2 linked regions of the Caenorhabditis elegans genome follow. The protein of the gene in region 2 interacts with the protein of the main gene of each other region in a biochemical or structural test. Each region holds a gene or a part of one and is shown on either strand. Other genes may lie near its edges.

What was found.
Region 1: of the proteins of lit-1 (region 2) and pop-1, one has a biochemical effect on the other in vitro, tested with the Caenorhabditis elegans proteins (4 studies listed by BioGRID).

Annotation. Positions count from the first base shown.
Region 1 is NC_003279.8:2,827,266-2,832,183, reverse strand, and holds the start of pop-1 (Protein pop-1), read left to right. Parts: upstream 1-1,872; 5' UTR 1,873-1,890; coding exon 1,891-2,065; intron 2,066-3,585; coding exon 3,586-3,704; intron 3,705-4,918. UniProt on the Caenorhabditis elegans protein: Transcription factor. Part of the Wnt signaling asymmetry pathway. Binds to the consensus sequence, 5'-(C/T)TTTG(A/T)(A/T)(G/C)-3'.
Region 2 is NC_003281.10:13,712,187-13,717,088, reverse strand, and holds the start of lit-1 (Serine/threonine kinase NLK), read right to left. Parts: upstream 3,045-4,902; coding exon 2,905-3,044; intron 2,532-2,904; coding exon 2,413-2,531; intron 1,592-2,412; coding exon 1,418-1,591; intron 1,340-1,417; coding exon 1,238-1,339; intron 1-1,237. UniProt on the Caenorhabditis elegans protein: Has a role in the Wnt signaling pathway controlling the asymmetry of cell divisions during embryogenesis. Operates in the AB and EMS cell lineages influencing cell specification.

The sequences.
Region 1 (4,918 bases), on a different chromosome or scaffold from region 2:
AACTATTCGAAATCGAAAAAAAAATCGATTTTATTCAGAAATTTATTAAAAAATTTTAAAAAAATACCGTACCCTTCAAGCAACGTGTACTCCTCTCGGAAAATTCGAATTAATTATTAATTTTTATTGATTTTCAACCAATTTCGCTACCAAAAAGGGTGTGTTCCCTCTAATTTAGGATAGTCTTTGCCATTTGTCTCCTTCCGTTTTCTCTTTTATCTGACTGGGGTCACATTCACAGTGAAAGGAGAATTAGAAAAAAGAAAAAAAGATGAAAACACGCTGTGTCTCTATCTCTCCGCCAATTCTCACGGTTTTCCCGGTGAGTTACAACGAAGAAAATGAACACTTCGATAAAAAATATATATTGACGCCCCGGGTTACCGATTACCGATGCCCACAAAAATCACTTCTTATCAATTTTTAAATGGTTTTTTTCAGGACAATCTGATTTTTATTTTTTCTCACTCAACCTCCACTCTCTTCAAGTTCCATGCTCTCTTTTAACCTCTTCTACAGCTATTATTGTCGGCCACCTGCGCACACACACAGGGCCTTCTCACACACCATTTAGCATGGGCGGCCCCTTGATGAGCGATGAAAGCGAGAGACGCAGAGAAATTGGTGTAGCGGGGGGCCATGGTGCACTACCGACAGCGCGCGCATACACCACCACCAACCGCCTCTTGTCTTCTTCCCCCCTTCTTCTCACGTCCCCCGGTCCGTCATTTATTTGAATTTTATGGATCCTTTTCGCCTCGTTTTCCTCGTTCCACTATCCTCCCTCCTACCTCCTGCTGGGTTCTACGTTTATTTGCATTTTATAATTGGAGGAACTTCTTCATTCGAACATTTTTCGCTTTTTTTTCCCGTCATTCTTTTTGAATTTTGTAGAGCGAGTAGCGGCCTAGTTTTCGGCTAGGCCATCTGTTGCCAATGACAGATGTGTTTTGTTCACCGTATCGATTCCTGCTCTTTAATTTAAAATTCCCGCGTTTCGGATTTATAAGCAAAAAAGTAATTTTCTACGTCAAAAATAGGTAATTTTAAGGTATTTAAAGTCTGATCGTGGTGTCACCCATGCCAAAAAACATGGCATGCGCCTTTAAAGACTACGGTATATTTACAAAAATGTCGAAAAATGCGAATTTTAAACAAATTTAAAGATTTTTGATGATTTTCTCCTTTTTGTTCGGAATTCCCTTGTTTAAAATTTATGATTTTATTTTTAAAAACTCAAATTACAAATTAATAAGCCGAAAAATATTGTTATTCGCGGTGGTACCCACATTGAAATACATGGCACGCGCCTTTAAAGGTTACGGTAGACAAAAATACTTGAAAATTTAATTTTGAACAAATTTCGAAGTTTTCGATCAATTTCTAGATATTTCACATCGAAATTTCCTCGTTTCAAATTATTTTTTCAACGAAACAGCTCAAATTCGACATTTTTAAGCAAAGAAAAGTAATTTTGTTCGAAATTCGTGTCGAGACCCACACCAAAATAAGCGGCATGCGCCTTTAAAAGTTACGGTGGACAAAAGTATTTTTTAAATTAAAATTAAAACAAATTTCACCGTTTTTGCTGATTTTTCTTGAGTTTTTCATCTAAAATTTCGATTTTGTCGTCAAAATTTATCTCTAATTCAATAAAAATTCAACATTTTCCAATTTTAGAAGTCTAAACCTCCACTTTCTCCCCAAAATCCTATCGAATTCAAATTTCCCGCGTCTTTCCCCTCTCCATGGCCTAACTTCCGCGGACCTAGTCCCCCTTTTTTCTTGTTTTAAATGGTTCCGTGCTTCTTTTCCCTCCATTTTTCCGTCAATTTCCCATTAAAATCGTTAAAAAATGCTCTAAATTTCCAGATATAAAAATACACAAAAATGATGGCCGACGAAGAGCTCGGCGATGAGGTGAAGGTGTTCCGTCGGGATGAGGATGCTGACGATGATCCAATGATTAGTGGTGAAACGTCAGAACAACAGTTAGCCGATGATAAAAAAGAAGCTGTAATGGAAGCAGAATTAGACGGTGCCGGTCGAAATCCATCGATTGATGGTGAGTTTTCCAATAAATTTGATCGAAAGGGGAAGGTGGCCAGCTATCACACAAAATTTTATGGACCACCTCAATTGCCTTTCGACTTTATTACACAAAAAAAATATTTGAAAATTCTTCTAAATTTCTAAATTTCTGCAGGAAAAAGGGACATTAAATATTAAAAAAATACATATAAATTTAAATTTAAATAATTTAAATAAAAACTTTAAATGCTAAGACTGATCCCAAAAAAAGAGAAAAAAATCATTAAATTTGAAAAAAAAACCTTATTTAAATTCCCGCATTTTTTGTCTAAACTCCGCCCATAGAACCGTGCCGCACTTTGTTTTTTTTTCAAATTCAGCGTAAATCCATATTTTGGGGGTTTTTTTTCAGTTTTTAAATGGAGAAAAAGGTTTTAAAAATCGCCGAAAAATTCATTAAAAGCTAGAAAAACAACCCAAAAATTGGACTTTACGTTGAAATTAAAAAGTGCAAAAGTGCGGCACGGTTTTATGGGCGGAGTTCAAAATCGAGACAAAAGCGCGGGAATTTAAATTAATTAAAAATCGCTAAAATATTTTTTTTTGACAAATTTGAGTATTTTCAGTGTTATTTTGAATTTCAACCAATTTTAAAGCGATTTTTCGCCATTTTTTATATTTTAAAGTATTTCTAACACTTTATAAATGAAATTTACTCATTTTTAACCAATTTTTTTTCCGGTTTTCACTATTTTCTATTAAAAAAATCCATGCTAATTTCAAAACACCCCTAAGAATTGACCTGATGGTCCCGGGCCTTACGCAATGACATAATGACGTAAAAGGATGTTACGCAACGGTGTTCGAACACCATCTGCGTCTCTCCGAATCCCATACTATCTCGGTCCGTTATCTTGTGTGCTAATCCGTCGTGAGTACTTGAACAAGTTGGTCCGTCTGTGTGTGCTCAATAGACTGTATAGGGGTGCGAAAGGATTAAGAATTGGATAATATTCAAAATTGATCTGAGAAATTTGAACTTGGCGCCAAAAATTGACCTTTTTTGAGATCTGTGAATGGAAAAATCTAAAAAATTATGTATTTCAGGCCTTTAGAGGTGCTAGAAATTCCTTTTAAAATTTTACGAAAAATCGCTTTAAAATCGAATTTTCAATTGAAAAATCTAAAAAATGAGAGGTTTTGAACTCGGATATCACTATAAAAGTTGAATTTTAAAATATTTTTAACTGAAAATTGTGAAAATTTGCGAAAAATCGCTTTCAAAAATCGAAATTTTGAAGGAAAAATGAGATAATTAACCCTATAAAATTGAGTTTTGAAGAATTTTAACTAAAAATTGTGAAAATTACCGAAAAATCTCTTTAAAATCGGAGTTTTCATGAAAAAATCTGGAAAAATGAAATCTTTAACCCTATAAAATTGGATTTTAAAGAATTTTGACTAAAAATTGTGAAATTTGCCAAAAAATCGGTTGAAAATCAAAAATTTGGCTCTTTTTTAACCATTCTAACCGAATAATTATCAAATTTTCAGTGTTAAAAAGTGCATTTCCAAAAGTCGAACCAATGTCACCATCGTTTCCCGGTTTAATGTCACACTTCAGTCCTGGATACTCGGCAGCTGCTTTACCCATGTTTATGCCTCTATTTATGGTGATTTTTTACTTGGAAAATTGAAAAAATTTGAATTAAAACACATAAAAATTGGCGAAAATCGACAAAAATCGACTTAAAATTGTATTTTAGAGTTAACAAGTTAAATACTTCTGAACGAAAAATTACCGAAATTGGCAAAAAATCGGCTTTAATTGGAAGTTTTCACTGAAAAATCTGAAAACAAAGGTGAATATTAGGCCTCGAATATGTTATAAATACCTTATAAAGTTGAAATTTCAAGATTTCCCCCAAAAATCGACGAAAAATCGCTTTAAAATCCTTTTTATGACAATTCCCCCTATTTTATTAGAAAAATTATGTAGTCTAGGCATTAGAAATACTTTTAAAAGTTGCAATTTCAATATTTTGCCCAGAAATTGCCTAAGAAATGGGAAAAATTATGTATTTTGAATTTTTAAAGGGTTCGAGAGCCTCTATATTTTTGGAATTTAAGAATTTACACCAAAAATTATTTAAAAAAAGCGAAAAAACACCCTAAAATCGAAAGCTTTATTGAAAAATATGGAAAATTGTGTATTTTTGAGCTTATTCTTCAATTTGAATCAAAAATCGTCGAAATTTGCAAAAAATTGCTTTAAAATCCTATTAAAAATCATTTTTCCAACAATTTCTTCCCCAAAAAAGCAGAAATTCCAAAAAAAAAAAATTCAAATTTTTACCCAATTTCAAGAATTTTTAGGGCTTTTCTCCATTTTTGTAGAAAAAAAACCGTATTAATTTTTTATTCTTCCTACAATTTTCTTCCCCAAAAAGCAGAAATAATACAAAATTTCCACTAAAAAACTGAATTTATTGTCTTCCAAATCCAAAAATTCTTGGCTTTCCGCCATGGGGTTCTGGCCTTCCTCATTGAATTTTTCGCGCTCCATTGACAATCGCCCGCCGGACTGGGATAGTCGTGTACTCCACACGGACAAGTGCATTTAGTTTTACAACTAAAATCGAGCCGCGACGCGACACGCAACGCGCCGTAAATCTACTGAGCCAAAATGACCTAGTTCGGCAAAAACTCTTCCATTTCATTTTATGAGGGAAGCCAAAAATTCGTGAGAAATTCTACAAAATTTTCACCGAAAAACTGAATCTATTATCTTCTGAATCCAAAAACTCGTTGCATTTCCTCGAAAACAGTTTTTTCTTCTTTTTTGTTGGAGAAGCCTCATTAACTCCCAAAAAATTGCGTGTTTTTT
Region 2 (4,902 bases):
TTATCTCCCTTTTTTCCATTTCACTCAAAAATTGCGTCACTAGCAATATAATCTGTGTATATGCGTTTTTCGACATATCTAGTGTTATGTTCGTCATAACGTGAATTTGTGTGTATGTGATCAACGGAGTTCACATGTTTGAGCGTCATAAATGAATCGTTAGTGAATTTCAGATTGATAAAGATATATCGAATAAAGATTAACTAAGTAGTGTTTAACTGGTTTTCATACTAAATTTCAGAAAAGAAAATAGGCATTTTTTATATATAATTTTCCGTTATTCAAAAAAAAATTAAAAGGAAGAATCGTTTTTCTATCAAGTAATTAATTGTTAAACGAACAATTTATAGGCCAATTTTTATTTCTACGCGGAAAAATGTCTGAAAAATTGACAATTAGTGTTCCAATTTAAATGGCAAAGAGTAAGAGCATCATAAAAATTTTTTTCACAATATTTTTTTTTGGAAATGATAGAAAATTCAGAACATTAAAAAAAACGGGTTTATTCGGAAAAAATGGCTCAAAAAAGCCGAACTTGATCTCTTTTTTAGTCATCATATTTCGCAATAAATGTCTTTCAGATTTCTGTTAGAAAATCGTAGTAGTTCTGAGAAGTGAGTCACGGTGAACTGAGAAAATTCTAAGAATTCCAGAATAAAAAAAACACCCCGAAGCTGATGACGGAGAGTAACAACAACAAAAAACATGTGCTTTAACAGAGAAAGCAGTCTTTTCTAGAAAGAGCGGAGTGTGTTCTTTGTAGGTCATTCAGGGGAGACAAGGACATTACGGTAGAGGAGATGGAAAATAAAGTAGTAGAAGGACTTGTGCACTTTGACAGGCAGCAACTGATTAAATTTGTAAAGACCGGCTAACAGAACTACACGTGAACTTTGAGATATTAAAAAGTAAACAAAAAGGGAAATGGTTCGAAAGTTTGTTAACAAATCAAGAAAATAGATTTTTACAAATATCATGATTCAAAAAAATTTTGTTGGGAATTTTGGTTTTTACAGAAAAATTTGAAACTATTGTTAAAATTAGTTTTTAGTTTTAAAAACCAGATTTTTGAGGCTTGAAAATTTTTCCCAATATTTTTTTTTATCTTTCAAAAATTTCATAAGTTAACTTTTAAAAAAAGGGAAATTGTTCCGTTCATTTTTTAATGTTTTTTTCCGGATTTTCGGTAATTATTTTTTAATTTTTTGTTTTCGTGAAAAAAAATCGGTCGACTCACCAACTAATTGCTGATGATGATGGTGAGCCTGCTGTTGCTGCTGCTGTTGAACCAAATTCTGAAGATGGTGGTGCAGAGCAAAGTGTGGTGGTTGTTGTATTACTGAAAAATTAAAAAAAACATTACTTTTTTATTGAAAAAAAAAACAATTTTCAACGTTTAAAACATTATTTAACAAACCGTCAGATCGTGGCACAACTGCTGAATAGTGTGGTTGTGCCGCTTGCGGCTGATGATGATTGTGATGGGTGGCGGCAGCGACGAGCTGGTACTGTACCGATGGGTGAAGCTGCTGGTGATGTTGATGGTGAGCGGCGACGGCGGCCAGCTGGTGTTCCGGTATTATTGGGATTGCTGAAACAATTCTTGATTAATTATTGAGTTTTTCGGAAAATCCTCTGAAATTGGCTAAAAATTAGACAATTTCATGTGAATTATATGAAGAGGTACTGAAAATTGTTGAAACTTTGTTTTTTTTAATGATAAATTTTACACATTTTTTAGCTAACAAAGCGAAGAAATTGAGCAGAAAAACAAAAATTCGAAACGAAAAAACAAAAACTTTTTTAGAATTTCTCCGATCGTGACGAGACCTACTGCAAGAGACAGTTTGGGCGCCTTTAAATCTTACAGTACTGAACTATTTGAAAATTCGTGTTTCGGGAGCAAACAATGGGGTTTGGAAATTTCGGTTAGAATGAACATTTTAAAATAAAAAATTTGTTTCAATTAAATATTAAAAAAAGATATCTTAGGCACGAAAATCGAGAAAATATTATAAAATGTATGATTTCTCGAATCGTGGTGGAACCCAGTACGAAACTAAAGGTATGCTCCTTTAAAGTTTACAGTACTTTTAATTAATTTTCATTTTTCGATCAATAATTCAACGGTTAGGTTTAAAAATTAATTATCCATTTTCCAAACTAGTTTAATTGTTTAAAAAGAAAATTTGTAGACAAATTGAACTGGATTATAAAAGCAAATCAACTCTAATTCTAATACAAAGATTAGCGAGCGTTATTTTTTTCACATGAATGAGCGAAAATCTCAATTTCTTAGCTTATTAAAAAAAACAATAGGGTCTCCCAACGAATTCCACAAAGTTCGTGGCGAGACACACATTTCCGGACATGTAAAACTCAATTTGTTTTAATTTTTCCACAAAAACACACCCTGACTGAGAATCTGTTGCTGTCGGGATATAAGTGCGGCGTGTGCAGCTGCAAGATCGTAGAGCTCTGTAGATGACGAACTACAGCCGGATGAACTGCTTGATCCTGGAATTTCTGGACTTGAAAAAAAGAAAGAAAAAAGAAAGAAGAAAAAAGAACATGAAAAAGTGAGGCGGAACTAGTGTTATTCATTCATGACGAGAGAGGACGCCTTCTTTTTTTTTTGTTTTTTTTCTAGAGAATTCTGAAAAAAAGGAGGAAATAGATGAAGAAGGAAATAAAAGTTGTTCTCCTCTCGGAAAACGAAATTGTGCCAAATTTATCAAGCCAACAAAAAAATTTCCAACAAAAAAACCAAAAATGGTTTAATAACGAAATTTTTCAATGTATTATTTTCAGGAGAACTGCCTATTTAAAATATTTTATGATTGACAAATTTAAGCAATACAGAGGCTCATAATGAACATTTTTTGTAAACATGTGAAAATTTACTCGGGGAAAAGGCACCCGCAGAATTCGTCCTCCGTGTCTTTCTGAGACGAGTAGAAGGAAAGTGAATCGTCATCATCTTCTTCTTGTTCTCGAGAAATATAGAGATAGTACGCATCCTTCCCCCTTCCCCACGACACCATCACCACCCAACACCGTCTTCCTCAATACGCGTCTACGATTCATCTCGGATCTGTAGGCGAGTGAGCGAGCGCGCACGCACCCCTCCACTGTGTGTGTGCTAACAGGACTGAGAAGAGAGACCTCACTACCTGTCGCCACCAGGCCCCCGGTACCATGTACGTTGAGGGTGATGACCCCGACCTCCCCAAGGACCGTCCCTCGGGATTTCGAAATTTTTTATTACTCTGTTACTTTTGGGGAACGGGAAAATAACAAGAACTTCTGATATGTTCTGATATGAGGATATGTGTGCGCCATGTGAAAAATTAGTTATATAAATTGCTAGCATATATCATTATGAAGACTAACTTCAGAATATCACATTAGAATTAGTAGTGGTTCAGACTTTTTCTGAATTCCCGGAAAAAGTGTCCGGGAATTGAGCAGAAAAGTACACATTTTCTAAAACGAGGCTCCTCGAAAGATAAGGACAACTAATTTGGAAACACCTTATTCTGGTACTTTTGGGGGCGGGGAGAGGACAAGGGAGTAAAGTAAAGCTGGAAAACAAGTGCTAGCATACAGAATAATGCGAAAAATTTACAATTTCATTGGCAAAAAATGAGGAAATGCAAATATCGAGGAAAATTATAAAAGTTCGTGGTGATTTGAAATAAAAAACCACTAAAGTACCAAAAAATTTGCCGTGGCAATATGGCAAAACTTTCAACAAAAAGCATACTGTATATATGAGAACGTTGACTACAGCTGATCGCGAGTAGCAAACTATGAGATGCACAAAGAGCAAGAGAGACGAGAGAGTGTGTGGCAAGGAAAACGGCCACCCAGCAGCAGCAGCAGTAGACAGACCCCCCCCCCCCCGCGAATTCGAATATTATGTAGCAGTGGTCACTTTCTATTCGAGATAGTCGGGCGAGACACAGAGAGCACGACGGCGTAGAGAGTGGTCAAGGGTGTGGAGACGCAGAGAGATACGGAACGCACTCTCATACATCTGACTGACCACTCAAACGGACGCAGAAGACCGAAAAGCTGCGAAGAAGAAGAAGCAGAGATGTGCTCCCCTAAGAACCAACTACTACTATTACTACGATGTACCCCATCCCCGTTTCATTTGGAATTTAAAATTTTCAACAGGGGTGTCTGTTGTTTGGCATGCTGACAGTTGGAGCAAGGATGTCGTTTTTGGCAACAAAAAATCGAAACTCTGATTCTCCAGAATGTTTGTTTTCTCAATTTGTGGTGCCCCTAATCGGAACTTTCTCTAAAAGCCGGGAATCTGATTCTCCAAGTTTTATGTTCGAAATTTCTGAGCCAAAACTCAAACAAAAAACTTGGGAAGTCTGAAATTTTGTAAAACTCGAAGAAAAAATCTAACAGATCCGGTTCTACAGATGTTGTAGTTCCTTTACATTGTGGGCTCTATCTACAAAATCTGATTTTTTGTTTTTTATGAAATATTTCATATGAAATGAAAATTTGATCCGAAAATAAGAAGGAAAATTAGCAAATTTGATTCTTAAAAATTTGCAACTCACTAGACTTCGTAAAGTTTCTAATTCCCAAATTTTTCTGACAAATTATCGAAAAATAACACTGGTGAATCTGACCCTTCGATTTTTTTATTTCTCTATTTTTGTAGGGCTACGATATAAAAACCAGTTTTTTTCCGAATTTTGATGAAAATTTGCTGTGAACTCTAACTTCATACTTACTAGTTCGAACGAATAAAATTCCTGGAATCCTAAAAAGCATCAGAAAAGACAAATCTTGAAAGTTTCCGAGTGAAATAAAAAGTTCGAAGAAAAGCCATAACACACACACACCCACATACATATATATCCAGAAGACGGCTAT